Oryzias latipes: one gene and its partners. The protein of the gene in region 3 binds, or shares a complex with, the protein of the main gene of each other region. Links are inferred from orthologs where the notes say so. Each region holds a gene or a part of one and is shown on either strand. Other genes may lie near its edges.

Region 1 (9,743 bases), on a different chromosome or scaffold from region 3:
TTCCCACTCGTAGATGGTCTTTTGCATATTTGCTATTCTCATTTTTTAGTGTACTGAATAAAATGAAGTGCAAGTGTGTTACTTTTTGCTAGGAGTTGCATTCGCCCCACCCTATGATGGGTTGCAATAATCCCCATAATCCAGCACAGAACTAATCTGGAACAGAAATTGGATTAATTTAAAATTAAGCAAATATACTTGTATAGGTTTAGAGTTTTTTTTTATCTCTAATCAGATTGAATCTCGGTAAATTACTTTACACATTTCCTGAAATTGAGACACAAAGAGGTTGTGCACTGTTTAAAGTAGCCACACAACATGAATTATTGACCTTTGACCATTGTTTAAACTCTCAATTTAAATTAAATTTGTGTCTCCCTTTTGATTCTTTTTTCATGATGGTCAAGACAACTTTTTTTTGCTTTTTTCCGTTTGGTACAGGATCATTATCTACATTTCATTGGAAAAGTAAAATCCACATATTTCCGGAAAGAATTAAACAAAAAGAGCAGGAGTAGAAGTTCATGTGTAAGAAAAAAAAGCTAGTGGTTAAAGAATAAAGCTTATCTCAGATTTTTTTCAGTAGCTAAATCTATAGTTATTTAACCTTTGTTTTTCTCCCTTGGCTTCTGATAAACTAAATAACATCCTACCATCTTTTCAAATATGACTTCTGGTATTTTAAATATACTGTAAAATACATTGAAAGTTATTTATTTAGCTAAGAGAATTAAATGCAGAAAATCTACAAACTGTTAGCCAGGAAAAATCTGGAAAAGGAGAGGAAGTCCAAATAGTTAAAAAAATTCAAACACATTTACTTTCAGTCTTTAACGTTTAAGCACGCCATTACCAGACTTACATTTAGTTGTAAATAAAAAATAAAGAAAAATTAGGAAAATGTTCCATGTTTGTTTTTTCATGTCCTTAATTTGCAGTGGTACCCAGAGGTTCGCCACCACTGCCCTTCCACACCAATCATCCTGGTGGGCACCAAGCTGGATCTGAGGGATGAGAAAGATACGATTGAGAAGCTAAAGGAAAAAAAACTGGCACCAATCACCTATCCACAAGGCTTAGCTCTGGCTAAGGAGATTGGTCAGTTATACTCAATATTGTTTCAGCTCTGTTTTTTTTTTTAAATAAATATTTGTGATCTGATCTGTGATTTAATATGTTTACATGTATAACACTCAACCCTGTAACTAAAAATGTGCTTTTTGAAGAAAAATATAAAGCTTTTAATATATACGTATTTGATGTTTTATGGGACAAATTCATGTTGATTTAGATTTTACTTTGGAGCTTAAAAAAATGAATTAAAGCCTGAGTGGTGTTGTATGCAAGCAATAGCCACCCCCTCCTGATCTGCCCTCATTGGCTTTAGTGGCTGCTACACACCCCTCACTCTACCCTTCTGCCACTGCTACTTTAAACCCCACTTTTTTCAAAATGGCAGCCAGGTAGTGACGAACAGGTCTAAAAATAATTTTGAAGAATTGCCAAAAATAAATGTTTGGATTTCCTTGGCAACAGAGGGTTTTGTTAATCACGCCCACATTCCATTGTATGTCATATAATTTCGTTCCGCTTGAGCCAAGGATTCATGTATTATTTTTTGTGATAATGTTCCAGTAAAAACTGTGTGAGCAACAGGCGAACACCACTTTTGTGAGTTTGCCACACTTACACTGTCCAAAATCTACAACTTCTAAATCCAACCTTTTTTTTACCCAAGTAGCTTCCCAGTAATGCTCAAAAAGTTAAAAGGCGATAGATTAAATTCTATTGGAGGAGTTTAAAATTGTAGGTTTGTTTAAAAATTCAAGATTGTAGCTGCTTCTCATGGTCAAAGAAACTTTGGTGGTGGTCGTTGGTGTGTGACATTTTGTAAAGATCACCCAAACAAAGCTTGTCCTTTCCCATACATGTGCAAAAATATGAAAATCACCAAAGTTCAAACTTCGGCATGTAGTAGCCATCAAGCCGTAGAACCTGTGTCCATACTATGATAAAAACTTTGTTTGGATATGGCTGACATGTTGGTTTTGTTTCATTACTGAATGTTCAATTTCTTTTTTTTTTGGCCCCTTATTAGATTTTGGCCCAATTCTTTATTTGTTTATTTTTTACAATTTCACCTGCTGTGATTTCATCATTTTTGAGGGAGGGGTCATTCACTGTGTCAAAAATGCATTTTACCAGGTACTAAATATGTGCAAATTGTAGTGAGTTTTTTAGTATGTGTGTGTGTGGGAGGGGGGGGGGGGGTGACATTTTTTGCTTAAAGGCGCAGTAACAAAAAAGAATTGCTAAAACAATCAAATGTACTTATTTTGGTTTTTCTATGTTTTACCTGTTTTTGTCTTGTTTATTCTAAGAGAATTTGTTACAATTTTCTGAGGTTTACTGTGTGTTTGCATATGGACACAGATGCAGTGAAGTACCTGGAGTGCTCAGCACTGACCCAGCGTGGCCTGAAGACTGTGTTTGATGAAGCCATCAGGGCTGTGCTTTGCCCTCAGCCGGCCAAAGTAAAGAAGGCAAATTGCTTAATGCTGTAAATGGTAAGTGCAACATTATCCCTGAGAGGCAGGAGGAGAAATAAAAGGTGGAGAAATAAAACACATGCATTGACTGTGAGAGATGACTAGTGATATTTTAATGATTCAGGTTGAGAGGTTACAGGCTAGAAATAGTTGGGGTCACCTCCGTGTCTGGGCTCTGAAACTCAGTACCTTGAGAGGGGTTGGAGTTAACCCTGGTGGATGAGAGAGTCATGTCCCTTTGTCTTCAGGTGGGGGAAGGGTCTCTGACTGTGGAGCTGTTCCCAGTACATGATGGACTCCGGCAGTTCTGTTCATAGTTTTTATGGACAGAATTTATAGGCGCAGCCATGGGCCGGAGGGGGTCTGGTTTGGGAACCACAGGATTTCCTCTCTGCTCTTTGCTCTGCTCTTTGATGTTGTCCTGCTGGCTTCACAGAGCCGGGACCTCCAGCATGCATTGGGGTGGTTTGCGGCTGGGATGAGTCATGATTGCTAAATCTTTGATTTCTATCTTCATTCCAGTACTCACATATGGTCATGAGCTATGGGTAATGACTGAAAGAGCAAGGTTCCGAATACAAGCAGCTGAGATGAGCTTCCTCCGTAGGTTGGCTGGGCGCTCTCTTAAAGATAGGGTGAGAAGGTTTTTCACCCGCAAAGAGTAAAGCTGCTTCTCCTCCACATTGAGAGGAGCCAGTTCAGGTCGCTCGGGCATCTAGTCCGAAAGCCTCTTGGATGCCTCCCCGGGGAGGTGCTCCGGGAATTTCCCACTGGGTGTGGGCCCCGGGGGAGACCCAGGACATCCTGGACTGGAGAGACTGTGTGTCTTGGCTGGCCTGGGAATGCCTCTGGGTCCCCCCAAGAGGAACTGGTAGAAGGGGCCGGGGTGAGGGTAGTCTGGGAATCTTTGTTTAGACTGCGATGTCCTGGATGAGCGGAAGAAGATGGATGGATGGATGTTAAACATACATTCTTGAACGCATGTTTATCCCATGGCATTCACACTGGACAAGCAGGGAGGAATTTCTTCTTTTGCTATTGTTTTCTATCGCATGTCGGCCACCTACAGTTGGAAAAGGCTTAGTGTGAAATGTCAAAACGGTGCAAATCTTGTGAATCTTTCTTCAGGCTTTCTTTCACAGCTCTATTCCTGTATGTGAAAGACTTGTGCCCGGACAATTGAGCAATTAATAATTTCTCCTCCATGATAAGTTTTCAAACAGTTGGCACTTATGTGAATCACTGCCAAATCCGAGTCCCTGATTGGTCAAAGTTGGACCTGGGTTAACTTTTAATGCATGTTCAATAGCCGTACATTTGTTTGAAGAGCCAGTGGGGGAGTAAGAACATTTCATATGGACGGTTGGGAGAAGAACAGAAGACTTTAAATTAAGTTTTTTTTTTTTTTCATTTGTGATGTGCTGTTCACATTTGCCACTCTTCGAAACAGTTTTACAATTGTTATCGTTATTAAGTTAATAGAGCAGTTGTAATTATATTTTTTATTTTTTTGGCTGATGTTTATAAGTGCTTAAAAAGCTTGAATTTGTGATTTTTTTAAATCTTATCAAAATGATACTAATATTGACTCAGAAATTGGAGAGTTATTGGGGGAGTCCATTTTTTCTTTTTTTTTGCCTCTCCTTGCCTCCTTGTAGCTCCGCCCCTGCATAGAGCCCAAAAATGGTCAGAGAAAATTGCATAACCACGCATGAACATAAAGGTTTTAAACGCCGGAGCCTTAAACACATATTTTATGGGTTTACATAGAGTTTTTATTGGAAGTGGTGGCTTGAATGTGCATTGCCGAGGGCAGTGTGAACATAGCTTAACATAAACACCTTGACGTCTATTGATGCAAAAATGCAGCAAACCACTTTAGCTGCAAAATAACTTTCACTTAGCATCTATTTGAAAGCAAAAAATATAAGTGAAATTTATTTTAATATAAATTTATAATAAATTTATTTTCTCCTAGCTGAAAATAAATGCAGGCTTTAAGGAGTTAGTGGGCCTTATGGATCTCTGTTCTAACCTGCTTTTATGGTCTTCTTTTTAGATTCATTCGGTACCAAAGAGGAGTGAGAAGAGGACTGTGGATGTTGAGTTTAAATGACATGTAACTCTTTTATAACATCTCTACTAGAAGGTTTCAATAGGAGTCCACTTGTTAAAATATTATGCCTTTGCTTTCTTATTTACTTTAAAACTTTATTAATTTGCTTTGAATGGTCTGCTATGAGTGAGCATTGAAAAATGATGTCAAAAATTAGAAAGTTTCTGTTATATCTGTTGGTTTGCAAAAGAACGGGAGCAAAAGTAACAGACCAGAAAAAAATTGATTTATAAAGAAAAGCATTGTGAAATACAATTTCTGGCACATTAAATCAGTGTTTTAATTAATTTATGTTATGCTGAATTATGCTGAACAAGGAAAAGAAAATCAAATTATTTGCTACATGAGAGAATGCAACAAAATCCTGCTTAAAATGCAAAAAATATTATTATTTGTGGGAATGTTGAAATAAAATACTGTATACTATAACATAAAAATATCCATGATCACTTGGTGCTCTTTCTTAAAGCAACCCTACCTTTTTCCTTTTGTTTTATGACTCCATCAGGAAAGAGTGAGCTCAGTCCTTCTGAGGTAATGCTAAAGTAACATATTGCTGTTTTAACCCCTTCTACTAGCATGATCAATCTTACTTGGCTTTTCCCAAAGGCCAAACCATTATGGCAATGATATCAGTCAGACTAATATGCACAGATTATTGGTGGCCATCTGATTAATGGTGGAACTGGAGGCATTGCTACGTTTCTGTTGGGAGTTTTAGTGTCCAGTTTTTTTTTTTTTTTTTGTATTGCCAGTATAAATCAGTATTAGTGGTTTTAAAAACTCACAGTAATGTCAATTCTAGTGAAAATTATCATTAAAGCATGTACTCCTGTAGATGCACCCCTCAAGGATTAGAAAAAATGAAATACTTTAAGTAATTTTCAGGATTGCCTCATTAGAAGGCATCACTGGAATTTAATAGGGAATAAGACTGCAGCAGGTTGTGTGTTTCATGGACATATTGCCACAGAGCAGCAGCCACCTTTTCACATCTGTACACACTGCTGGAGTATGAAATATTCATCTTTTTGTTATAGCATAGGGAGAAATAGAATAAGCTTATGGGAGTAAATTTACATAGAAACATGCAACCTGGAAATAATTAGTAAAAACCTTGAAACTGAACATTCCCCAACTGACAATCCTTTGCACTTTTAAAAAAAGGGAATACAGTGAAGAGCAATGTTGATGCAATCCACTGAAAGAAATTGTCATTCAGTGCAAATCAATTTCAAATTCTTTCCACCTGAAAACCTCTTTACAGGTTCAGCGATTTGTCAAATAGAGTAGACTGTTGTTGAGATTATGTTTGGCTTGACAATTGCAGAAGGTTAGAGCCAACAGCTCAGATAAGATCCAGATAATGTTCACTATGATTGGTGGAAAAGTGTTCCATCATGGACGACTTTAAACCAAAGGTGCAATTTAAAAGTAAATGGACCCAGAGTCAACCAGGATGAAGCTCAGAGCATGAATTCCTTTACAAACTGCTTCAAAAATCTGATTGCAGGGGGGAGAATTTTCCATTTTCAATGATTTCTTTAAAACCATCGTTTTTTTTAAACTTATTCCTACGAAAAAAAAAAAAAAACCTGGAGTCACACGTTTTGACTCTGCTTTAAACCCACTATACAAGCAGTATGGTAGCTAACAGAGCTCAGTATTTTTGAAGGAGACATGTTAGTGTATCGAGTTAGGTTTTCTTATAGATATATTAATCATAGCTGAGTTACAACAGAGTTTTAGGTCCACTTTACAAACAAAAACATTTTTTTAATTATGACTTTAAAGTCCTACATTTATGAGAAAAGAGTTATTCCTATTAAATATGAGAATAAAGTTGTAAATTTACGCCTATAAAACACGTAAATCTACAAGAAAAAAAGTAATAAATTAACGAGAAAAAACACCAAAGTTGTCTGTTAATAGGAGCCATGCTTGAAGATGAAAGATGTGGAGCGTTTTGTAAAGCTTTATTTAAGCTTCACAAAGAAATTCTGAGTAATGCAGAGTTTCATAGGTAAAATAAAGAACTCAGAGACACGTTTGGGTGTAGAGGTCCGCTATTCTGCCCTTATCATCCACATACCCAAAAATCCATTTGTCACCTTGAGTCATGTAACTGTCATGCGCAAAAGAAACACCAAAGGGGAATGAAAATAGTGTGACATACGTGCCCTCCTCCAAATGAAATGTCTCATTTCAAGACAAAACAACAGAGAAGGAATAGAAATAGTCTGTTACATTAGCATAAAAAAATTTAAAATGCCAAAAACTGGGGGTTTTTTTAGACGAAAGCCTCACACAGATTTGGAGGAGATCTTATCTTTCATGGAGGAAGTGGACAGCTGCAGGGATACTGATGGCTTCCTCAACAGGCTGCAGAGATCCTGCCATCATAAAAGAAAATATTAATAAACTGTAAATAAGACAAATGAGCTTCCAAACATTTGTAATGTTATCAATAAACCTTCAACTTACCTGTTCAATTGAGTTTAGGCGGTTACATCTAGAGATGTTTAGTTCTCAGAGACATGGCCAAAGTAAGAAAAGCTGAAACCCAACCACCTCAACAAAATGCACAAGTTCAAACGTCACGAATGGGCCAAGAAAAACTGTACCTCAAGACAGACTTTTCAAAGGTTTTGTGGACTGATGAGATGAGAGTGACTCTTGATGGACCAAATGGATGGGCGCGTGGTTTGATGAATAGTGGACACAGAGCTGCACTTCGACTTAGACGCCAGCGAAGAGGTGGGGTGTTGATTTGGGCAGGTATTAATAAAAATAAGGTGGACCTTTTTGAGTTGAAAATGGACTCATGATCATCTATCAGACCTACTGCCAATTTTTAGAAGACACTTTCTTTAAGCAATGGTAAAGAAAAGAGACTGCATCTTTCAGGAAGACACTCATTTTTGTGCAAGACAAAGCTCGATCACATGCATCAAAGTACTCCACTGGCTAACACAGGCCGTAACCCTTGTGCTATCCTAGGCACTTTAACATTGGGAGTTGGGTCATCTAGACCCCACTAGACAGTGCGCTGAACTTTTTTTTTTCAATGATTTGTGATCTTCACTGGTGTCCATGGATTACATGAAATCCTCTTCACTTTAATCCACCTTTGTCATGGTAGGGAGAACAGGTCAATGTAAGGGTGGGGTCATAGGATAGCACAAGGGTTAAGGATGAAAAGCTCATGACATGGCTGCCTTCTTCACCTGACTTAAATGTTATTGAGAGCTTTTAGGCCCTTCTTTTTTATTTATTTTTTTAACTTGTCCTGTCCACCAGCTGAGCATGCAGATCAGAGCTGAAGGCCTCTTGTGTTTGACAGATTATACTTTTACAACAGGGGTTTATAGATCTTCAGACAAACAGAGTGTATATTTGCATATACACCCCACACCCCAGAGCTAGGGGTTTGCAGCGAAGCAACCAGGGTGGTCCAGGCAACCAAGAGCCCTACTGTCAGACAAGACCCGCGAGGAACCACCCTCTCATGCACTGGACCTCCACCACGGAGACTGAGGCCAAGACTCAGCATCCCACTGGCCGAGGAGTAGGAACAGGCCGACCCCAGCCACTCCCTGGGGCGGGGGACCCCCCCATTGAGCAGGGTATACATACAGGGTATATATACAAACATACATACATACATACATACATACATGTACATCTCCACCTGAGATGGTGAGGTCCGTAGTCCGTAGTTTAGCCACAGAGAAAGGGTGGTTTGAGCAAGGTGTAAAAGATGCAATTGAAAAAGCCTCTAAAATAGGGATGGGAAACTACAGGCGTTGAGGGTGACATTTCTGCATGACTTCCAACATACCCTGTTCTGGCATGTTCTAATTGGCAGGACACACCTTAACCATGCAATCAGTCATGAGTAGGGCTTGGATTTCTGGAAACCATGCAGACAAACCAGCCTTCGAGGCCGGGAGTTGTCCATCCCTGCTCTAGAAGCAGAGTTAAAATGTCTTCATTTATAAAATCAGGTTCAGTTCATTGCTTTTTTACATAATATTTTGATGGAATCAAGCTGAATGGATGCAAATCTACACAGACATGATGAATATAGGATTGTGCAGCATGAAACTAATGCCTTAGTCACAACTGCCTTTACCTTTGCCTTTACTTTAAACAGCACCTACACAACAGGCATAGATGAAGGGAAAAAACTTTTCAGAAGTGACAAAACACACTCTGGCTCAGTTCAGGTTGTTAAAAAAAAGAAGTTAGCAGTTCCTTTTTTTTTTACTGAAAATAGCAGTAGGCGGGAATTGTCAAGAACTGCTCCGGGGCATGCCTCCATGTAACAACACCAATGTCACTAAAAAGCAGATTCTTACAAAGTTCAGTGAAGCTTGGATGTTTTCAATTGGTTCTGACTCTTCCCCTCAGAGCTACAATCTGCAAGTCTGGATAAAGAGACGAAGCTCAATTAAGCGTAACAAGCTGTCTTCTCAGACAACTGCAAGAGTAGGAATACTGAAGCAGGCAAAAAGTTGAAGAGGTGAAAACATTTGTGTGAATGCAGAAAAAATGTTGTCAAAATTTCCCCACGAGTTGTTTTCAACCTTCTTAATGCATTTGTAAAAACATTATTCTATTTAACTTTACAACTTTAAAACTAAAAAAGTGCTAGCAGAACGGCTTTATTTTATTAGATACTTTTCTAGTTTAGTGTTAGGTTTGCCAAATCAATTTTCAGTTGATCTTTTTTCTCTGTTCTCATCTAGTTTTCCTCTGTGAAAGCTGAAAATAAAAATGTGTACATGTGTGTTACTTTGTCAGAAGCATCAATATTTCTTACTGAAAGCAAAGATTTCAGCAGATTATTGCAAAAACTGCTATCTAGATACAAACAAACCATGACAAAGCATCTTTGATGTGGAACATGAAAAAAATACTGTTTTGTTTTTAAAAAATACATACACAACAATATTCAATTCAATTTTATTTATATTGCTCAATATTATAACAATAGTTGTCTCAATGGGCTTCATACCGGTAATTGTATAAGAACATGAAACTCATAAAATACAATAGGAAATTGCTAAACTAAA
Region 2 (10,382 bases), on a different chromosome or scaffold from region 3:
AAACGCACACAGACAGTCGATGAAAGGACTGGGTGAGTTCATCGCGGGCGTACGTTAAGGAGTTGGGGATCTGTATGTGGCTGCTGCAACCGTTGGAACCGCCGTTGCCTCCACTGCTTCCGGAGCAGGTGCCATTCCCACTGCCTTTGTTGGGACTTTTTACGTCGTCGCTCCAGTCTGTCCGCACATCCCGGACGGCCCGGGAGTAATCGTCTATGTCAAACTGCTCCTGGCAGAAGGAGAACCAGCGATGCACCATTGTCTCCAGCCACAGCTCCCCTTGCAAAAGCTCCTCTGGGACGATGAACCTCGGCATGGCCATATGAAAGGGAAAATGGAAGGGAATGATTTTGTTGTTCCGCAGAATGCAGCACACAACCACCGTCTTTGTCTGGATGTTGACCAGCTTATAGCGGTGACCCTCCCGGACGAGGTGAAGGTCATACTGGTTCCGGGGTGGACTGCTGGGCACGATGACATTGACGGGGAGTCTGGTTTTTTCCACGATGTTTCTGATGGTGTGCTCGCCGTCCTGCATCTGAAGCTCCAGCGGGCTGCAGGTGCTAAACCTGCCTTTGCACTGAAACGGGAGACTGATGCTCTCGTTTGTGCGATGGTTCATGCAGATCAAGCACGGCATCTTGCCCCGGCCGATCTTGCTGATGGAGTGAAGCTTCCCGATCTTCTTAAAAATAGTGTTTAGTCGTGATTTTTCTTTGGAGCTTTTGGCGTAGAGGATCTCTGCCTGGCCCATTAATGTGAGCTCATCACCGGTGCTCAGCGTAATGTTGTAAACTTCTGTCTCTTCATTGCATTCCCCTGAAGCCATCTAGGACAGAAAAACAATTATAGAACATTAACCTAAACTAGTTAACAGCTTCTTTCTATTGAGCAATCAACCAAAAAAAAGACACAGACTATGAAATGCCTGTTTAAAACCACTTTTTAAAAAGTTGTTTCTGTGTTTTTCATGACTGGTTTTTCTCTGAGGGCTTTTACTCCAGGTGCATTGTGGTATTGATAAGGAAGTCATGGAATGCAAGCTGGCAGCTGTTAAGGGCGGTCTGACTTTCACATTTGGTGGTTTAATTAAAACAACTTTAGCAGAAAACAACAACCAGTTCCCCCTTCAGTAAGACGAAGGAAATGGAGGATTGTGCTTCAGAGTTGCCAAACTACCACGTTTCCCAACATCTGGCCACACCAAGTTAAAACATTCATGGCATCAGTTCCACCAACTTCCATTGAACTCTAAGAGAATCAGGTCTAAGTGATTTTTGGTAGAAGTCTCTACAATAAAAGAAACGTGATACACATCATTTCATAGTAATGCCTATTAAAAAAAAGAGATGAACATTTTATGAACATAGACGTGCTATAGCATGTCCTGCTGCTGGAAAAAACTGGAAATGCCTCCTAATTAGGGATGTGGATCATTTCTTAGATCAACGATTCACAGATCAAACCACAATTCTTTCCATTTAATATATTATGAATGAATGGTCGCCTCATGTACGTGTTTTTGTTGGATCTATAAACATCATTTACACATTTGTTCAGAACAGGATACAAGAATCAGCAAAACATAAATAAAAGCTCAAATATTTTAAAAGAAAGAAAAGGTATTTGTCACTTTAAATAATGTCACACTTGTGTAAGTTTTTCTGTAACCTTCCTGGTCAAATTCAGTAGTGTACAAAACATAATCGTCACTGTTGCTTTGGATCGTTTAACATCCAGTCCTGGAAGTGTTCTCCACAGTTTTTCCATCTTCAGAGTTTGGCTGACTAAAGTTCCAGTAGATGGATGATAAGAAAACAATAAATGAAGACACAGCAACACCTCAATAAAAGTGACTCTGTAATAAATAGGAACTGTTCTTTAATCTAAACTAACAGCAGAGTTTCCAGCAAACATATTTTATTAACTCACTGTTTTCATCTTTAGTGGAAAACACAAAAAACCTCCACACTTTAGATGAATATTTTGCAGACATGTTCTGGTACGTCACATAACTGAACAGAAGATTTTAATAATATTTTAAAATGTCCTATTCATTCTAATTTTTCTTTAAATTATCAACTACTTTTTAAATAAAATGTTTTTTTCAGAATTTATTTCAAAATTTTACTCCCATTTTTTGTATCTGAGAAAACACTTGATAGCTTTACTTTGAAAACGAGAACCTTCTCTGACACTTTACTCTGAAAATTTGTTTACTTCCTGTGACAGAAGTCCATTCAGTTTGTTTAGTTTTTAAACTTAAAATCCAACATTTTTCTGTATTTTACAGTGATAATTTATTTTTTATATATATTCCACTATATTTCCACGTCACAAATATTGGTACAGTTTTCTGGAAAAGATGGCGTATATCTGAGTATTCGGATGCTCATCTCGGTCCTATTCATCAAAATGATCACTTTGGAAGGGGAAAGTGTACCTTAACATTAAACGTGATGTCCTCCATGACGTACACTCTTTCGGGGAAGGCTTTGGCCACCTCCTCCACACTGTTGAAGTATTGCACGGGCTCCTTGACATCTCTGTCCTGTTCCAGCAACTTGAACTGGCCTAAGCAGAACACGAATGATTAGTGCTGATATTTTCCATCGCTTCTGCCATCACATGAGAAGTAAGCAGTTGGTGGTTCATCAGTTTCTCAAAATAATCACTCAGAAAACTTTTGAAAGCATACACGATGAATAATTTAGATAAGAAAGAGCCATTTCAAAGGAAGCACCATCTTCATGGCGGCTCCTTACCTTCATAATGAACTGGGATCTCTATTTTAGGCCCAATCACATAATGTCCCTCCTCTAGACTGTGAGCAGTTATAGTTGTCCACTGACGGCAGGAATGAATCAAGAGGTAGTCGTTTTCTCTGAGGCCCTCAACCAACTGAGCTGCAGAAAGGAAGTTTAACAATCAACCAAAGTACACAAAGAGTTTATGATACAATCAGGTCTGGATGAAGCTTTTAATAATATAGTCTATCCAGTGAGTTGCTTCCTGAAAAGGAAAATATTAAGATTTGAATAAATAAATGTGTCAGAAATTACACATAAAAATGTATGTTCAACTTACAAATAAAGTTTTTTAAAAATGAATCAAGTACTGGACACGAGCCTTTTTACTTCAAAACATTACATTATGGATAACCATCACCTGCTAAAAGAGACATTTTAAAAGGTAATTTAAAATCCATTAGACATAATCCCACACAATTTCTGCATGTTTTATACATTTAAATTATGAAATGAAAAACACAAATTTAACTAAGTAGATGTTAACTTTTGTCAAAGACACTTTCTAGTTAAATAAAGTGTAGACATACTAGGGGACTCATGATGTTGTGAAGGCAATGTTGTTGTTTTTTTACACCTTCAGCGTTTTCCTTTGATTAGCAAAATAGCCTTTTCGTTTTTACTTCATGACCTAAATTCTTATTCATTACCATCAAGGTTGCTTTTATATCAATCAGTTTATAGCATTATTGCACTAAAGCGAATCTTTGTTTTTCATTAGCTTAGACTAGAGCTGATAAGCAGAAGCCTTAACTGGCTAGCATGGTAGCTATAAAACTTGAAGTAAGTTACTAACCGTTATCCAGCATGACAATTTGTGGCAACTTGTACGCACTGACCAGCTGGTCTAGCGGCAGAGACGTCGTGCTCCACGTTACATCCTTTAAGTTATTGTACAACATCGTTCCAAGGTCCATTTTGCTAGCTTAAGTTAGTTAGCCACTTTTTGAGCTAACTGGTGCAAAACACGGTCACAAAAAAGCTTTCCCGAGCAAACTAGCTACACAATTATAGCTGCTCTTCATCTATGCAGTTGTGTCATGCACATGACGTTCCCAAGTCGTAGCTGCATAGTTCCCTCTAAGTTTCCCTACGTATCCAAAAGGTTCGTTGTTAGAAAAAGTAGCCAAGCCATGTTTGTTTAGTAGCGACGGCAGTATCAAGCTAACTATTCTAACGGAAATACGTCACTTTCTACAATTTTATTTTTATTAAATAAAAGCCTTTCCCTTTTCCCCCTCCAATTAAAATTGATGAATAACAAGATTTAAATCCCGGAACAACAACTCAAATTATAACAAAATTATACAAGTACATAGCAGGTGATAAAACATTAACAAAAGAAGGGAAAAGGCCAAATAAAGTGCATTCTTTAGGCTTTTCCATTAGGTTTAATTTTTTATAACCACTTCAATAATTTCACTGCGTTTTCTTTTGTTTGTTTTTTTGCTTATTTTTATTTATTTTTTACTTCTCACAAACAATTGAACTCCTTCTGATAAAATAGTCTGGATTACAAATTAAAAATCTATTTTAGTAAATAAAATATATTCCAAAAATTGTGAAGTTTCGTATCATTTCGTAATAACCAATCGATACATTTTCTAACTTTATGGCTTAGCTATTTTATATCTTATCTAATTTTACATCTTAGCTTTTGAAATAAAAGTGTTTGTTCCAACAGATGTAGAAATTGGATTTTAATGGAATGGAAGAAGTATTTACTATTTACTACATACTAAAGAAAATGCATTTAATTAATTCAAGATAAGTACCAGAAAGTATATTTTTGTCTCGCTAAAAGGTTGGGGAAATAAGAAAAATTTTAAAGAGTGTTGGCCAACAATTCAACAATTTTAAGGACAAGAGAAAAAAAATCAAAACTCTAAAATAATTTATTTTCTTATAACTTTGTTAATGTTTACACTAATCTATATAACTTAAAGAAAAAGTCTATTAAAACCTGAGATGTAACCTTTTTTTTTTGTTTGTTTTTTCATTCTATTTTGTTTTGCAGACTGTAATGCCAGATTTAAGCCTCAAACTTTGCTAAATAATGTTAAAATAATGTTTTAATTACTCATAAGTTTTCATTTATCTCTTAAGGCACATAAAATAAAAGAATAAATTTAAAAAACATTGAGGTAATAAAATAACCTGTTCTTTTGTTTTGGCTAAATATATGGGTTCACACAATTTTTATTAATTCATTTTTAATCAGTGAAGTTTTGGAAAATCTTAACTTAAGGTAGACTTTGTGATGAGTAAATGAAAAAAAATGAAAAAAATACGGTATTGCTAATACAAATCCATGTAAATCATAAAATTAACCAAAGATAATGATGAGGTGGGGAGTACTACTATTGCACTTTACTTCATTATTTACTCTTAAAATACTACAGTAAATATTTAAACACCCATAATTTTTTCAGATCAACGATTCACAGATCAAACCACGATTCTTACTATATTGACTTGGACTCAAGAGCACATGGCGTTGATGCAAATTCATTGAACGTTGTCATCAACTTCCTGTTTTTCATGGCATAAATCAGAGAAACTTCCTCAATTCAGTCACTGTGTCTCAGCGGCAGCCAAAATGTCTTTTGTGGACACTCTGCGACAGTGGGATGACGGCGTAACCTGTGCTGACAAACAGGATTTTTCGGAAGCTCTCCGGATTCTCTTGGCCATTCCTGAGCCAAACTCCAAGATTTGTTTCAACATCGGCTGTCTGCATCTGCTTAACCAGAACTTGGATGATGCTGAAAAGGTAAAGTCAAGCATTTCTCAACTATTAATTTGCTCCTAAAATAGAAAACTAGAAATCTGAAAACATCAGTTATCTGGATGCAACCGGTGAGGCAGAGATTGAATTCGATTGTAGTGTAAGTGCGAGTCGCAGTGAAACAAGAAGTGGTGCTGAAAGCGTTTTTGTAAAGGAAGTTGCTGCTGTTTCATAGGCGTTCGATTGCAGCATTCGCAAGGATGAGCATTTGGCAGTGGCTTTCTTTCAAAGAGGAATCACCTTTTATAAGAAGATGAGGTAAGACACACCGGCTTTTTACAAACAACGACCAATTTCCTTCCATTTCATTCCAAATTCAGAACACCTGTTAAGTATTTGCACCTAAACCACAAGTTTTCACTGATTTGTTATGCAATTTATTTGATCACACATCTGTAAAGGTACGAAGAGAGCATTGGTGACTTCCAGAGAGCCTTCAAAACGCTAAGAGGAAACAACCTGATCGATTACAAGGCCCTTGGTCTCAGATATATTCTATATGCATGTGAGGTAGGTGTTTTCAACCTTAGGCACAATCTACTACATCATCACTAAATCATAACACCTTCCAATTCTGCTGTTTGCATGAGAAAAGCTCTAAATAAAATCTCTCCTTTCAAAGGTTCTCCACAACATGGCCCTGGCTGAGGCTCAGCTGGGAAACTGGGAAAAGGCTGAGCAAAACCTCAGGAAGGCGCTTGACTACAAAACAGACGCCAAGCTCAGTGTCATCGAAAAAGCTCAGCAGGCAGTCCTGGTTAGCATTGATCTGATGAAAAACGAGGGTTTCTCTTAAAGTGCCCAATTTACATGGAGGGGGGGGGATCTAAAAAGTAATTTTAACAGTCGACTGGGATAGGCTCCAGCAGCCCTGTGACCCCTATAAGGGATTCAGCAGGAATATAAATAAATATTTTAAAATGTTAATCCACACATTTAAAAACTATTAAACAAAACACATCTGCAGTTTCATCTCTGCTAAGGATCTCGTCAGAGTAAATAATGTCTTTATTTGTCCAGTAAGTTCAGGTCCAACCGTGCCTCCATGGAAAGTTTAGGGACAGAATGCGGTTTTGAAATGTCAGATTTAGGACATCTTTTTGATGCGATTTCATTGACAGAAGGAGAAGCTGTTCAAACTAGTGGAGTTCCCATCAAAAATGATGTTTAAACCAAATAAACATTACGTTGCAGAGCTGGAGAAGAAAGACTACCTGGGCAAAGCCAAAGTAAGAATAAATCTTTTTCATTGAAATAAATCATCTTACATGATTTGGGAAATCTTGAGGGTGAACTTAACAATCTGTGTATTGTTTGTTTGATGATCAGGTTGTTGCCTCTGTCAATCCACAAGACGATTTTTCTGGATTTGCTCCTCTGCAGCCACAGGTGACGGAGATTCGTATTTTTCGTTGCTAAATGCTGTGATGAGGCAACAAAAAATTCTGAAAAATTGTGAAATGTCCACGCAACCTTCCAGCTTGAAAATGAGCCTTAGAAGCATGCGATGTTTGTTTCTCCCTCCTACATTTTTTATTGACACTAAGCTAAAAGCAGTGACAAGTGTAGTACAACTTGTCGGGATCGAAAAAGTATCCATTCATCCATCCGTCCGTATCTCAATCACTTTTCAGAATAACCTGTAAGCAGAAAGTCAGCACATCTGCTATTCAAGCTGTTTAAAAGACAGAGAAGGTCACAAGTCCCTTTTTTCCAAGTCCAAATCAACTCTGAAGTCTCAAGTCTGTCATTTCAAGTCTCAAATTTGAATTTTAATGAAGAGTCTACTAACACAAATTGTCATCACATTTTTGTGGACATTAAAACAGACAGTTTATGTTTCGGCAAAGCTTCTTAAAGATAATTTTTTAACAAACATTATTTATTCACAAGTCCCAAACCTGGAGGTTAAATTCAAATATTTGCATGTGAGACTTTGGTCCAAGTCAAGTCCAAGTCACAAATACAAGTCCCTATCTGTCATTCCATCAGAACCAGAACATCAGGAGGTTGAGTCATGGTTTAAACACAGTCAGTAAACAAAATCTTATTTGTGGCAGGCTGTTGTGAAAAAATTCTTGAATCTTTGGATGTGCATTTAAACATTGCCCATGTATAAAAGATTTTATGCCTTTTAATTTTATATTTAATTTGAAATTAGGATTACCTTTTGTGAGTTTTGTGTGTACATCCCGTATACTAGACAGGACTGGGGAAAACACTGGAGCCCTCAAGAACCAGTATGACTCAGTAAATCAGGGACTGACTGGATAATCTCCTTCTTAATCACTAAACAGGTTGAAGATGGTCCACTTTCTCCAAGAGAACCAGAAGTTTTAAGGTACATCCCAAGTTTTTTTAAAAATCTATCAAGTAGAAATTGATAAAATGTTTTTTAATATCTTTTTGCTGAATGTCTTTGTCCTTTCGTGTAAAAGGGTTTTCTAATTTTCATCAAATTAAACGTCATCTTCCTTCAATGACAAAAAGACACGTGTGTTACGATACCCTTTGTGTGTCTATTCTTCATAGAGCCTTGGAAGGTGAACCCCACACTGTACTGTTTGAGTTTGTTCCTGAAACCTGCGACGAGCTGGCCGTGAAGCCCGGCAACATGGTGTTCGTGCTGCAGAAAGGGGCAGACAACTGGGCCTATGTCATCTTCAATGGAAGAGTAAGAATGCCGTATGCACAATCTGTGATACTTCTTGAGAGTGTGTGCATCATTTTTTTCCCCCAGATTGTGTGTTTAGTAGAGAACTGAGTGCTTATTCGTGGTTATGATTACAGACGGGACTCGTACCGTACAATTACCTGGAGCGTCAGGAGATCTCTCTGGCTTTAAAACAGAAAAAGGTATTGGTACTAGGGATGCAACGATTCACTTTCTCCACGATTTAGCACAAATTTTGATTTTTTTTTGGGTCACAGTTTTGTGTCATTTTGATATAAGATTTGTTTATAAAATGACAAAAAACAAAAAATTTGGACAAATCCTTTTTTTTAATTTGGTAATCAGCGAGTTACAATGAAGTGAAAGACTTCACTTGGCTCATACTTGGGGTTGGGGTAATGTAACAAAACAATAAATACTAGGATGTATTCAGACTGGAGAAGTTAGTTGGTCTAGACCCAGTTTGCCTAATTTGGTCTGGATCAAGTCCTGAACCTTGCATTTGGTCTGTACTCAGATGGCTTTTCAGCTGGAGATTTGTTTCGAACCAAAGCTTGTAAACAAAAGCATGTGATTGAAAATCTCTGCAACCATTGGCAGGACACAGCAAGGAGATAAATAATGAAAGTCCTACAATCCATGTCGGATTATCCAAACTTTATATTTTGCTGAACAATTTTGAACGTCTGTGTCGGAGGCTGCAAGATAACTGTTTATGACACAGATTGTCGGGAAACACTGTGAAAACAATGTGTATCACGTTAAAAGTTATTTTAATGAGCTAAAGAGTTGCTCATTAAATTTAATGAGTTGCTGCGTCTCATCGTCGCTCCACAATTCTCTGCGGCTCATCCGTTTACATCCTGTAAAGATGAGGTAGCCGTTTAGGTTCAGTTGTTCTGCTCTGAATATGGAGTCTATTCAGACTGAGAAAAACTCCAGAAATGAGTCTGATTGGAAATGAACTGAAACCACCTCGAAAGACGGATCAGAGAGCGGTTCCTGGTCCAGGATCAGGGTCTGCTTGCCAGGGTCCTCAGAATGAAACTTGAAATGAACTCTGGTTCTCTTCAAGTTGAGCAAATGTTTCCAATCTGAATACAGCCTGAATGCTTTTTAAATTTAGCACACTTGTTGAACACTTTTAACCTAAAACACTGGTATGCCGTGTTCAACGATTCACTTTAATGGTTTAACATACGGTTTGGTTTCTGATCAACACTTGTGGCATCCCTAATTGATACACAATATTTATATTTTTTATTAAAAGCTCAACTTTGACATGTGGAGTAGTTTCAATCTTTAAGTATCCTGATTTCCTCTCAAATTTTTGCGTGTTGTTGAAAATTGCCTTTAATGGGAATAACTGTCACCAGGGTTTGGTTCCAACTTCAAGTCGAGAAGCACCGAATATACCGGAGAGGACTCGAGGTAGATTTTATGACACACAGGCTTTAAAACATTCTCGTTTCCTCCGTTTCTCCATGTTTGATCTGGTCTGTTGCCGTTCAGGTCTCAGTTCTGGGAACGACAGCAATGGAAATGAAGAGCAGACGGTACGCTGAGACAAACCCAACAGTCAGTGGTCCTCATCATAAACGCCTCGTTGATCATTCGGTTTCCTTTCAAATCCAAGGTTCCAGACAGTTTATACATCGTCAAAGTTCACTTCACATTCACCTTTGCTGTCTCAATACCACGTGAGTCTTCCTATGAAGTGCTGATAAGAAAAATAAGCAAGAAGGTGAAGCTCCCGTCAGACAACATCTCCTTAAGGTAGAGCCATCATTTTAACCCCAAAACTGACACCTTCCATTGATCCTCATCTTTGTATGACAAAAGTTACCGTCGTATTTTGGCTTCAGCTTAGATTCAAGCGGACAACGTGCGATTGATGCAAACACAGACATGGAAACGGTGTGGAGCCAGGTCCGTGCCGGGCGCATCACTTTGTGGTGCAAAGAAAAGAAGGTAAGGAAGTGGTGGCGGCGCACAAACCAGGCGTTTCTGTCAACATCACCATTAAGCAACGAGATGCAACTGAAAGGAAGTTTGGACATCATATTCCTGTTTACTGAGAACTTTTGCTTCATCAGTGTGAATGAGTTCACAT
Region 3 (10,594 bases):
TTCATCTAATCAGCTCAATGTGCAAAGACCAGAGCTTCAAACTATATTTTATGTTAAGGGAGCACGACTAACCCTAACCTCTTTCCAAACTCACTAAGGACCTTGGGCATTATGAAAAAAAACCTTGGGAGCAAGGACAATAACGTCCAATCTATGTTACTGCTTTTAACATGTTCCCTCTAATTCACTGCACAACAGTGGGAGGCAACTCATTTCTATTTTATCAATTTAAAAGAGGGTTGATGCTATTAAAAATGAGTGCATTTTTAAGCTATATTTAAACTAACTTTTCATGGTTACTACGTATTCTTACAAAGAACAAATAATTGGAAAAATGTCATGATTCATAAGTTTCGAATCTAAAATGGTTTGGAAAATAGCGTTTGTGTAGTTTGACTGTACGTCTTTATCTTCATGTCTGTTCAGTTAAAAACAACAACAACAGTTGCAACCAGCAGATCGTTTAAGGAGGATCGAATATGGCTGAATGGCAAAGAGGAGGACATCACCCATCCAAGACTTCAGTCTTGTCTCAGAGAAAGTGAGTTCTTTCTGTTCAATGCTTTCCTATGAACACTATTCAAGATACAGAAGTGAAACATGATGTTTTTAATTCCATTTGTTCTGTTTTCAGTTCGAAGATTGGCACGAAAGAGGCACAATGACGGAGACGCTACTTCCACTGAGTTGACTGGTCTTTCTCAAAAAGTCCACATTTGCTCTGTAAACAATTTTCCCACCGCTGCTGGACTCGCCTCGTCTGCTGCAGGCTTTGCCTGTCTAGGTGAGAGCCTTTATGTCTGTATCTAAAATCTGTTTACGTTGCAAATGTTTGTTATGAAAACTGTCTTAAAAATTCTCAAGTTGCAAGTGTTAATGTGCAACACATCAACAGTGTAATCTTGTACTTTTCTGTCCTTGGTTGTAGTTTACAGTCTCGCTCAGGCATTTGGTGTAGAAGGAGAGCTGTCTGGTGTCGCTCGTCAAGGTTCTGGCAGCGCCTGCCGAAGCATGTATGGAGGCTTTGTTCAGTGGATTATGGGAAACCAGGAGGATGGCAAGGACAGTTTAGCCCAGCAGGTGGAGCCAGAGAGTCATTGGCCTGAACTCAGAATCCTTGTCCTTGTGGTAGGTCTTTGTTAGATGAAGAATTTGGTCATCATCGTCTGTTAATAAAGTTTTATATAAGCTTTGAATCCATGCAGTTTGCAGCTCTCTTAAATGCAATCTGATGTGTTTTTGTTTAGGCTAGTGCTGAGAGGAAGCCAGTCGGCAGCACTTCTGGGATGCAAACTAGCGTACAAACAAGTTGCCTACTAAAGGTGATCTTTAATTCAATTTCAGTTCTAAAGTCACCTTTACAACCTTTCGCTCATAACATAACATTTCTGTGAATGATGTGTGCAGCATCGGGCAGAGTCTGTTGTTCCTCACCGGATGGAGGAGATGATTAAAGCCGTGCGAGGAAGAGACTTTGCTGCATTTGCTGAATTGACCATGAAAGACAGCAACCAGTTTCATGCCACCTGCCTGGACACATACCCTCCAATCTTCTACCTGAACAGAGTCTCCCAGCAGGTCATTCACTTGGTGCATCGATACAACAGACATTATGGGGAGACACGGGTGAGCAGTACCACAGTTTTGTCCTTTTTGGTGGTGGTTGTATTTATTTTTTAGTTGTGTTTAAATCTGGTGATCTAGTTATTTTACTTGTATTAGTACTTACAATTATGACGTTGCATGTTAGAGGAGTAAAAATTAGGATTATGATATTTACATATGTGAAAATCATAATGGGCACAATTAAAAACCTGATGGGATATTTTCTGTCTAAGTGTTGGATTTCAGGTCAAAAACAGACTAAATGAGGCTTTCATTTTGTATGACCTTTGGTAACTTTTGAAACACAATTGTTTATTTTTATGTGGATGAATTTTTGACATTGTGTAACAAAGATGTGAAACATGTGCGGTAATAAAAAAAAAGAGGAACGTGATTTTTTTCTATTCTTTTCTTTTTTTTTTAAGCTGACGAAAGTCTGTGTGCTCCTTTAGGTGGCCTACAGTTTTGATGCCGGGCCAAACGCTGTGATTTTCACGTTACAACAGCACGTTCCAGAGTTTGTCCACTTCATCCAGCATTTCTTCCCACCAGAAACCAATGGAGAGGAGTATGTCAACACCCAATCGATTTACTGTACTCTATACTTTCTGTTTGACAAGCTAAAGGAACTAAAAAACAAAGAGATAGACAGTTAGTTGAGCCACATACGTTTATGGGTTGAATAGCATTTTGCTCATAAAACCCTGCTGAGGAAACCAGGTTAACCTTTTTCTTTTTATTACAATAAAAGCATGCGGTCATGAAGGACTTTGCAGCATATTGGGCTTTGTTTCTGTTACTGAGATAGAATGTGGCCAACAGCTAAAAGGTTTGGCCTCGTTCACAAATACATTTTTTGGAAAAGAAAAAATCAGACAATATGAAGGGTTTGAAATTTACAAACATGTTCATAGTATTTATTTTTGGCTGAAAACAATACATTTGAAATTGCACCTATGCACATTTGCTCAAAGAAATAGTGTGCCTTGAAATGAATTAGTATTTTTATTATAAAAACATATGTGGCAATAATGTAAATGGCATTTTGCTTGTTTTTTTATGTTTCACCTCTCCATGCCTGAATTTATTTTCGATAATATAAAACTATTCTGTCTTTTATCCTTTCAAAGTGATGATGCTACCTTAAGTGGAGTTCTGGGTTAAATGGTACTTTACAAAGTAGTAATAGTAGTACAGAGTAATTAGCTGGGATTAATATTTGTTATATATATATATATATATATATATATATATATATTTGATTAGACTTGCATAGGTGTTTCTGTTGTATTTCTATGCTATCACACTCTTATTTCCTGTTCGCCTTTAGCTCCCTCAAAAATATGTCACAAAGCTGCTTTTATTTTCCTCTGCAGCTTCATCAAAGGTCTTCCAGTCAAGAGTGCTGCCGTCTCTGAGCAGCTGAAACAGAGTGTTGGCTTAGAACCCATGCCAAAGGGAATAAGCTACATTATTAGCACCAAGGTACATACAAATACAGACAAAGAGGATGTTCTTTGAGCTGCAGAGTGATTCTTTTTTTTGGTCATACATTCCAGGCTGGTCCAGGCCCCCGGGTTGTGAAGGATCCCTCTCTACACCTGCTGTCACCTGATGGCTTTCCTAAACTATAAGACATAAACTTTAGTTCTTTGAAAGTAGCTTTGTTTTTTTTTGTTTTTTTACGTTTACAGATTTATACAGTTTATTATGGAGCCCCTAAAGGGACATGGAGGTAAAAAAAAAAATAATAGTATTGGTTTCTCATGCACACGAGAAAAAAAACCCAGTGTGCAGCACAGCAGCTGATCAAAGCCAGTGCATCCCCGGTACCAAAACAAACTACATGACTTTAGAACTCGTTTTAGGTGACGTTCAGAGGTAACATAACGGTGACACCAGGCAAGCAAAGCTAAAGTCTTTGTAGGGGAGTCCTAAGAAATAATAACCACTTAGTTCCTCGTGTGCAACAGTTGGTTTATTGTGCGCATGAGAAACCAGTACAATTTCTTTTACATCTATGTCCCTTTAGGGGCTCCGTAGTTTATGCCAGCATAGAAGCAAAATAAATCTTAATTTCCCCATGTAAACTGTACAGTGCGTCTTCTAAGTCACTTCAAATCACGAGTTTTTAGGTTCTATTCTAAATAAATGTTAAATGTGACAGCAGCTCTTGTGTCTTCTGATTTCTTACATCATTGTCAGTAAGCTTGTTCCTTTTACTCGCTGTTAGAAAGAGATGTTATAGTTGCATTGCCTTAAAGATCTTGTATTTGTCAATGACATTAAACCTGGGATAAATAGTTTGTAAAAAATATTTTAAACTTTATTCAATGTGGCCTTTATTGTCCGTTTCATTATGTGAGAGAATGACACACAAATCCAGATGAAGGCATCAGTTAACAAACAGGAAAAAGTTAGAAACTAAACGAAGCTATTGCTTCCTTGCCAGGAAGAAAAGGGTGAAACTTTATTTAATGATTAAGTGAAATTCCTCCCTGGCCTTGCTGCACCTGTCCGGTGGGTGTTGGCCCCGCCCTCCTCCCGGGAATCCCGCATATTTTCGGAAACGACGGGCGAGGCGGGGCTGCGTCCCGCCCGCCCCGCCCCGCCCCGCTCCTCCCAGCCGCACGTCTACGGGCTGCACCTCCTCTAAAGCGCGTCGTCTTCCTTGTGCAGGCTGCAGGGTCAGGTGTCGTCGCAGGTAGAGCGTCGTAGTCGCGTCGTTTTTGGGGTCAGCACCATGGGGAGAATAGAGTGGGCCATGTGGGCCAACGAACAGGCTCTGGCTGCAGGCCTCAGTGAGTATACAAAAGATTTTTTAAGTGTTAGTATTTGCTTTTTGTCAGGTCATGAAATAACTAGGACAATTAACACTAGAACAAATAGCTCCATTTCTGTATGGTAATTCCAGTTGCAGAAATAATGTTCATCTATAGAAAGTAAAGGTGGATTGTTGTCATTAATGCTGTTTTATTTTTTTACCTTCCTGTTTCCTTCTTGTAGTTCTTCTCGCCGGAGGAATTGTGGGAGTGGCGGGGCAGTTTAGAGGCTGGGAGTTTGCTTCTTATGCTATGTATCCTTTACCTTATTATAAGAAGTGTATTGGGATTTAGACTCTTTAATACAGTTTGCACTCTGGTTCATGAGAACCAAGTGGCGCATGCGCAGGGTTAACCTGGAGAGGTTTCCCCGAATTTTAATACCTGAAAGTGTAAAGCCTCATTCACCTTTTTTTTGAAGATAATGTATATCATCCCATCTGAATATTTCAATATTTGTTTTTATAGTCTAACTACATTGTTTTTTTTCTGTGTCTTAGACAGATGAGTATTAGTTCATAACACAACTTGTGTAGTATCCGGTACACACTTCCTTATTGTGCATGTTCAGTAAATGCAGGTTCCTCCATGAGGTTTTTTTTTCTTTTCCTGTTCATCTAAGTTAAGATTTGATTTTTTCACCCAAATGTTAAAAATCATCCATTTTATGTAACCATAAAGTCCAAAATCTGATAGATTAAATTAAAAAGTTTGTTTTGTTTGTCAATTTAGCACATTTTAGTCTTATATTAAGCACTATGTGTGTTTATGATGATGATGTTGAAGTGATAACAATAATTAAAATGCCTTGACTGAAATCAAGTGCTGCTGGGGTCTTTGTGTGCCTGCTCGAGTATCCCAGGAGCAAAAGGGCCAAGGGTACGAGTGTGGAAAGGACGTAAGTTTCCCTGTAGTCTTACCTTTATTACATATTTCATCATCAGCACGTATTTTCCTAACTATTATAAGGTTTTTTACTCACTACTCATTTTCTTTCAGGGGCCAGTACTGCTTCACAGTGTGTGTAAAAGCCTTCGGACCAGTAACAAGAAACTATTATGTCAGAGCGTTTCTGCATGCAGCGTAAGTAAGATTTGAATTCTAAATTTAGAAATTCATTTCAAGCAGTCAAAACAAGAAAAAGTAAAAAAGAAAAGAAACGTGAGAGAATAACATATATAGATTTATCAAACTTAAGATCATGAATCCTTATTTGATTGGAAAAATTTGAAGTAAAAGAGAAATATTTTCAGATACATATTTGATGAAAAACAGTTTAATTAATGTCTTGAAAAGAAGTTGAATAAAGTTGACTTTGTGGTTCTGAAACAATGCCACGCTTGAATAAGTGGACTGTTTTGTGTCAATCCTTCTTTTGCCAAACGGCATTCTTTCCACTCACTAACAATAGGCTTGTGCCATGACTGTGTTTGGTCTTAAACCCTTTTGTATTTCTCTTTACAGGCTTTGTGTACCTGGAGGTTTTATGCTTGCCACAGTTTTAGGATGTGTCTGTCTTGGCATTGCCAGTCTCATCTATCTGGCAGTAAGTTGTTCAAAGCTCACCAGTTGTCAAATTTGAAAAGTGTGTTGTAATGGCGGGAAGTGGTTAGTTTCTGGAAACAAGGAAACTGCAACTTAGAAGTTGTCCCATAGTGGTGTCTCTGTTGAAACATGACATACGTTATTGCAAAACATTAAACGAAGGTGTGACTGAATTCTCCATGAGTTTCAAAGGTTCAGATGTAACACGGTTTAAATTTAGGTTTATCTCCAATTTTGAGTAAACAACATAGTCACTATCCTTTTGTGGCAAAGCATTGACATTCTCCTGCTATCTAGGCAGCTGTCCGAGGTGAACACTGGGAACCAATTCTTCCTCGCAAAGATACTCGGAAACCTGTTGCTGAAAGCATCAAAAGTCCTCCTCAGAACCCACCACCACGACCTCCTCCAGAGATACGCCGGAAGCAAGCCAAGGATGTGGAGGGAGCTGCCTATGACAATCCCATGTCTGTGACAGATGACGAGTAACTGGACCCCCCTCACAGAATGGTGGAGGAACGGTTCGCTCAAGTTAGTGACCCTGGAGAAATACAAGAAGCTGAGATCAAAGAAAAAAGTTGATATGATCAAAAAGTTGATATGATCAAAAATATACCACATACGGTAGATGTAAATGCTGTAGCTGCTAGTTTGAAAATGTAAATATACTGTTGTCAGTTTTAAGTACTGTATGTGTTAGTGTTTACTGTTTGGAAAAATATTCAAAAGGTCCAAGTCAATATCTGTTTCCTGTTCCAGCGATCATAACTTTTATAAAAGTTTTTATATTTTATAAAAGTGATCTAGAAAAATGTGTATTTACTTGTTTCTGGAGTTTTTGAAAGCAGCTAAATGCAGGTTGTGATTAAAGAATGAAAAAGTACAGATTGATGAGATGATCTGTGTTTTTGGGTGCATCATGGCGATAAAGCAATTCATGTTGTCTCATACTTCTGTGGTGATTTCTTGCTTTCTTTTAATTGTTATCTGTCATCTGTTTTTGCTTTTGTGTTTTTGTTCCTGTGGAAAATATTCAAAGCAGGGGCATTTGCAACTTCTCGCTTTTACAAGCCCAATATTTCGACACGTAGCACTTCCCCTGTTTTTCCATTGTTTCTTTGTAGTACATAGTTGTAACATTGCTGTTCACTGTTTTTTTAACGCATTGTTCAAACAGGTTCTACGTGATAGTATTTTTCTTTAATTTTCTCTTCTCTTTACTTCTGGAGTCAGAACAGTTACTGTCTATTTGTAAACCAAAGTATCATAATCGTGCTTCCTCTTTTTAGTCTAAACCGCAACACCCAGGTGCAGATTGAATCTTTATTCATGCAATGATTCTTGCTTGGAGAAATGTAGTAATCAAAGATCACGCACTTTGTTGAGAATAAAAAACAGAAATGTTTATTTAGGAGAAGAGCCACACAGAAAACCAGTCAGCTGAGTGAGTGTGTCAGAATTTCTTCCCAAAGTTCATGATACTTATACTTTTGAAACCCCAACAACTGCTTTAAAGTTTGCACATAAACTGCAAAAACAAGACAAGACCTGGTTTTTACAGATACATGTAAGTATTTAATGAAGACTTTGAAATGGAAGAGTATGAATAAAGAACAGATTGACCTCAGATCACAATGTAACTGAAACTGGTTGAAATCAAAAGTTGAAAATTTGCCCTCCATCTTCTGGAAAATACTTCTAATTTTGTCTATATAATACTAATAAATGACACCTAAAATAATCATTTCCCCTCGCTGGTTTGGGGTGTCCAAACTGAAGATGTATGAGGGCCAACCAATCGGCTCGCATTCTTTGAACTCTTATAAAAGCATTAAATGTAAATGAACTATATGATGCCATTTTTTTGCAATGGCATATTTTTCCTTTTTCCACATTGAATGGATGTTTGTTCACCTTTCAACACATCCCTTCAGGGGTTGCCACAGCAAATCAGCTTTCACTGAGTTTCATGCTGGAGGCCCTTCCTCACACAACCCTGTATTTTATCCAGGCTTTGGACCAGGGGGACCCAGACTTGGGGTCACTTGCAGCTACATTGTTAACATTTTTTTAACCTAAATTATAGTGGATTTTGTGTCCTCTTGTTTGGTTATTAAGGTTCTGAAGGCAAAGTAGCCACAGGTTGTCACAACAGGTTTATAATGGCTAAGAATGGAATTTAGCCAGCCACAATCAAGAAATTGTACACACACTTTTTAGAAAGTGCTGGGGCCACATGTTATTATTTTTATGACAGGAGCCCGTGAGAGGTGGGAATTTGAATGGAGGCTGCTTTTTGCCCACAGGCCGGACTTTGGACATGCTTCGTTTAAACCAATGATTCTGCCTTCTTGCCAAAGTAATGTGTAGCCATGAAATAATTGTCAACCTTTTCAGGTTTAATACTAATATATCATAACATATTTGAGATGAGATGATATTAGTTACCTTTGTCATAATCAGCATGTGGGAAAAGATGAACAATTGGCAGAACAGCTCATTTTAAAAGGCCATGTGATCATGATTTTAATCCTCATAAATGTGATTTTTCCTCTTAAAGACTTGAAAACAATTTAGCCTGTATCTTTAAGTAACAACTGAAGATGTATTTTTTTTATATGAAATATCTTTTCAATTTGTTTTTGGAACCAAAGTTGAAGATAAGTTACCTGGCATGTGATGTTTTTGCTCTATTTATTCTTTCAAATGTAAACGCTAGAGGGCGGAAGATTGCTCAGATGTTTTTCGACATTTAATCAAAGAAGACGAGCAAACCAATAGTATAAAGCATTTAGGTAGGAAAATGAAGTTGAAATTATTGGACATGTATAATAGAATCTGGTGTGAAGGTAAATTGCCGACAAATTGGAAAGAGGCTGTTGTTATTCCTATATTAAAACCTGGGAAAGATCCGAGCAGCCCAGAAAATTACAGCCCCAGCCCTCACATCACATGTTGGTAAAATAATGGAAAAAATGATAAATGAGAGATTGTATTATTACCTGGAGAGAAAAAATTTGTTGTCCCAATATCAGAACGGTTTTAGGAAAGGTCGAGGGACAATGGACCCTGTCGTCTGCCTAGAAGCAGACATCAGGAAAGCCCAAGTAGATAAAGCATATTTGGTGGCAGTATTTTTTTTATATAAAAAGGCTTATGATATGGTCTGGAAAGAGGGTTCATTGATAAAATTAGGTAGGTTAGGACTTCATGGAAGAATTTATAATTGGATTAAGGGGTTTTTTATTTGATAAATATGTTCAAGTTAGAATAGGAAAGTCTTTTTCTAATAGATACGTCGTGGATAATGTAACCCCACAAGGAAGTGTGATTAGCCCTGTGTTGTTTTCAATTATGATTAATGATATCTTTAGTTCCATTGGATGCGAATTTGGGAAAGCATTGTGTGCAGATGATGGAGCCTTGTGGAAGAGGGGACGGAATATTCGTTATGTGGAGAGAAAGACACAAGACGCTATTACGGAGGTGGAAAACTGGTCATACAATTGGGGATTCAAATTTTCAGTGGCTAAAACAAAATGCATGGTTTTTACTAGAAAACGTGAAACTGTTTTGAACTTAAAACTATATGGAAAAGTAATGGAGCAAGTACATAGTTTTAGGCATCTGGGAGTTATATTTGATAAAAAGTTGAAATGGAAAGAGAATATTGATAGTAGGGAGATGTAACAAAGTCATAAATAAAATGAGATGCTTGAAAGGCACTGGGTGGGGAGCTAGTGCACAGGCTTTAAAACAAAAATATGTTACAATGATTAGGTCAGTCACAGCTTATGGAATTATTGTTTACAATACAGCTTGCAAAACGTAGTTACATAAGATAGAGGTCATCCAAAATCAGGCGTTGAGAATATGTACTGGGGCTATGAGGTCAACTCCTGCTGTGTCATTACAAGTTGAAATGGGGGACCTACCATTGAATCTCAGAATTAAACAACTGCTGCTTAATTATTGGGTGTAAATACAGGGTTGTGTAGATGTAGAACATATGGTTAAGAGAGGTATTGCTCCTTGTTGGGAAAGTGGTAGTGGGACAAACAAAAGTGTTGCTTGGAAATTAGCTAGATTAACCAGAGAAACAAACATTCATGGTAAAACCCTAGTTAAGACGTTTTTGTACCCAGCCACTCCTTTCTGGGTTTTTCCAACCGTACAAGTGGATTTGTATCTCCACAGGAAGATGGAGGGTAGCAAAGGGAAGAGAAACTGGGATGAAATAACAACAGACTGGTTAGACACAGTCCATGCTTTATTTATTCCCATATATACAGACGGATCTAAAGACCTAGGCACAATGAGAACTGGTTTTTGTTTCTGTATCCCTACATTGGGAAAATATGTTGGAATTAAGACGTCAAAGGAACTTTCAGTTTTTGCAGTTGAAATGTTGGCAATATCATATAGTTTAGACTGGTTTGAACACAATAAAATTGGAGATGGTATAATTTGTTCAGACTCTTCAGACTCTTTGTCACCTTTGATGTCTCTAAAGTCTTATTCTTCTGATAGCAGATCAGATAAATTGTATGAAATTGGAAAAGGTTGGGAAAATTGAAAATAAGCATCAGATTTATGTGGGTACCAGCACATGGGGGGTGGAG

The links.
Region 1: cytochrome b-245 light chain (region 3) and ras-related C3 botulinum toxin substrate 2 share a complex: the UniProt entries of both Homo sapiens proteins name them as parts of the phagocyte NADPH oxidase complex. The link is inferred for Oryzias latipes from reciprocal best matches to the Homo sapiens genes CYBA and RAC2.
Region 2: cytochrome b-245 light chain (region 3) and ncf2 share a complex: the UniProt entries of both Homo sapiens proteins name them as parts of the phagocyte NADPH oxidase complex. The link is inferred for Oryzias latipes from reciprocal best matches to the Homo sapiens genes CYBA and NCF2.

Annotation. Positions count from the first base shown.
Region 1 is NC_019859.2:25,180,257-25,189,999, reverse strand, and holds the end of ras-related C3 botulinum toxin substrate 2, read left to right. Parts: intron 1-938; coding exon 939-1,098; intron 1,099-2,433; coding exon 2,434-2,564; 3' UTR 2,565-2,567; intron 2,568-4,608; 3' UTR 4,609-5,104; downstream 5,105-9,743. UniProt on the Homo sapiens protein: Plasma membrane-associated small GTPase which cycles between an active GTP-bound and inactive GDP-bound state.
Region 2 is NC_019878.2:10,708,285-10,718,666, reverse strand, and holds the start of ncf2 (neutrophil cytosol factor 2), read left to right. Parts: upstream 1-5,176; 5' UTR 5,177-5,406; coding exon 5,407-5,580; intron 5,581-5,770; coding exon 5,771-5,853; intron 5,854-5,996; coding exon 5,997-6,105; intron 6,106-6,217; coding exon 6,218-6,352; intron 6,353-6,716; coding exon 6,717-6,824; intron 6,825-6,924; coding exon 6,925-6,984; intron 6,985-7,892; coding exon 7,893-7,936; intron 7,937-8,127; coding exon 8,128-8,269; intron 8,270-8,385; coding exon 8,386-8,451; intron 8,452-9,645; coding exon 9,646-9,700; intron 9,701-9,781; coding exon 9,782-9,825; intron 9,826-9,905; coding exon 9,906-10,045; intron 10,046-10,134; coding exon 10,135-10,240; intron 10,241-10,382. Other genes in the region: garem1 (GRB2-associated and regulator of MAPK protein 1), read right to left, coding at 1-829, 2,444-2,574, 2,766-2,906, 3,604-3,724. UniProt on the Homo sapiens protein: Subunit of the phagocyte NADPH oxidase complex that mediates the transfer of electrons from cytosolic NADPH to O2 to produce the superoxide anion (O2(-)).
Region 3 is NC_019861.2:22,088,033-22,098,626, forward strand, and holds cytochrome b-245 light chain, read left to right. Parts: upstream 1-3,938; 5' UTR 3,939-4,348; coding exon 4,349-4,406; intron 4,407-4,611; coding exon 4,612-4,681; intron 4,682-5,250; coding exon 5,251-5,325; intron 5,326-5,426; coding exon 5,427-5,510; intron 5,511-5,891; coding exon 5,892-5,973; intron 5,974-6,269; coding exon 6,270-6,461; 3' UTR 6,462-7,408; downstream 7,409-10,594. Other genes in the region: mvd (diphosphomevalonate decarboxylase), read left to right, coding at 427-541, 635-784, 929-1,128, 1,248-1,322, 1,408-1,626, 2,058-2,173, 2,982-3,090, 3,165-3,239. UniProt on the Homo sapiens protein: Subunit of NADPH oxidase complexes that is required for the NADPH oxidase activity that generates, in various cell types, superoxide from molecular oxygen utilizing NADPH as an electron donor.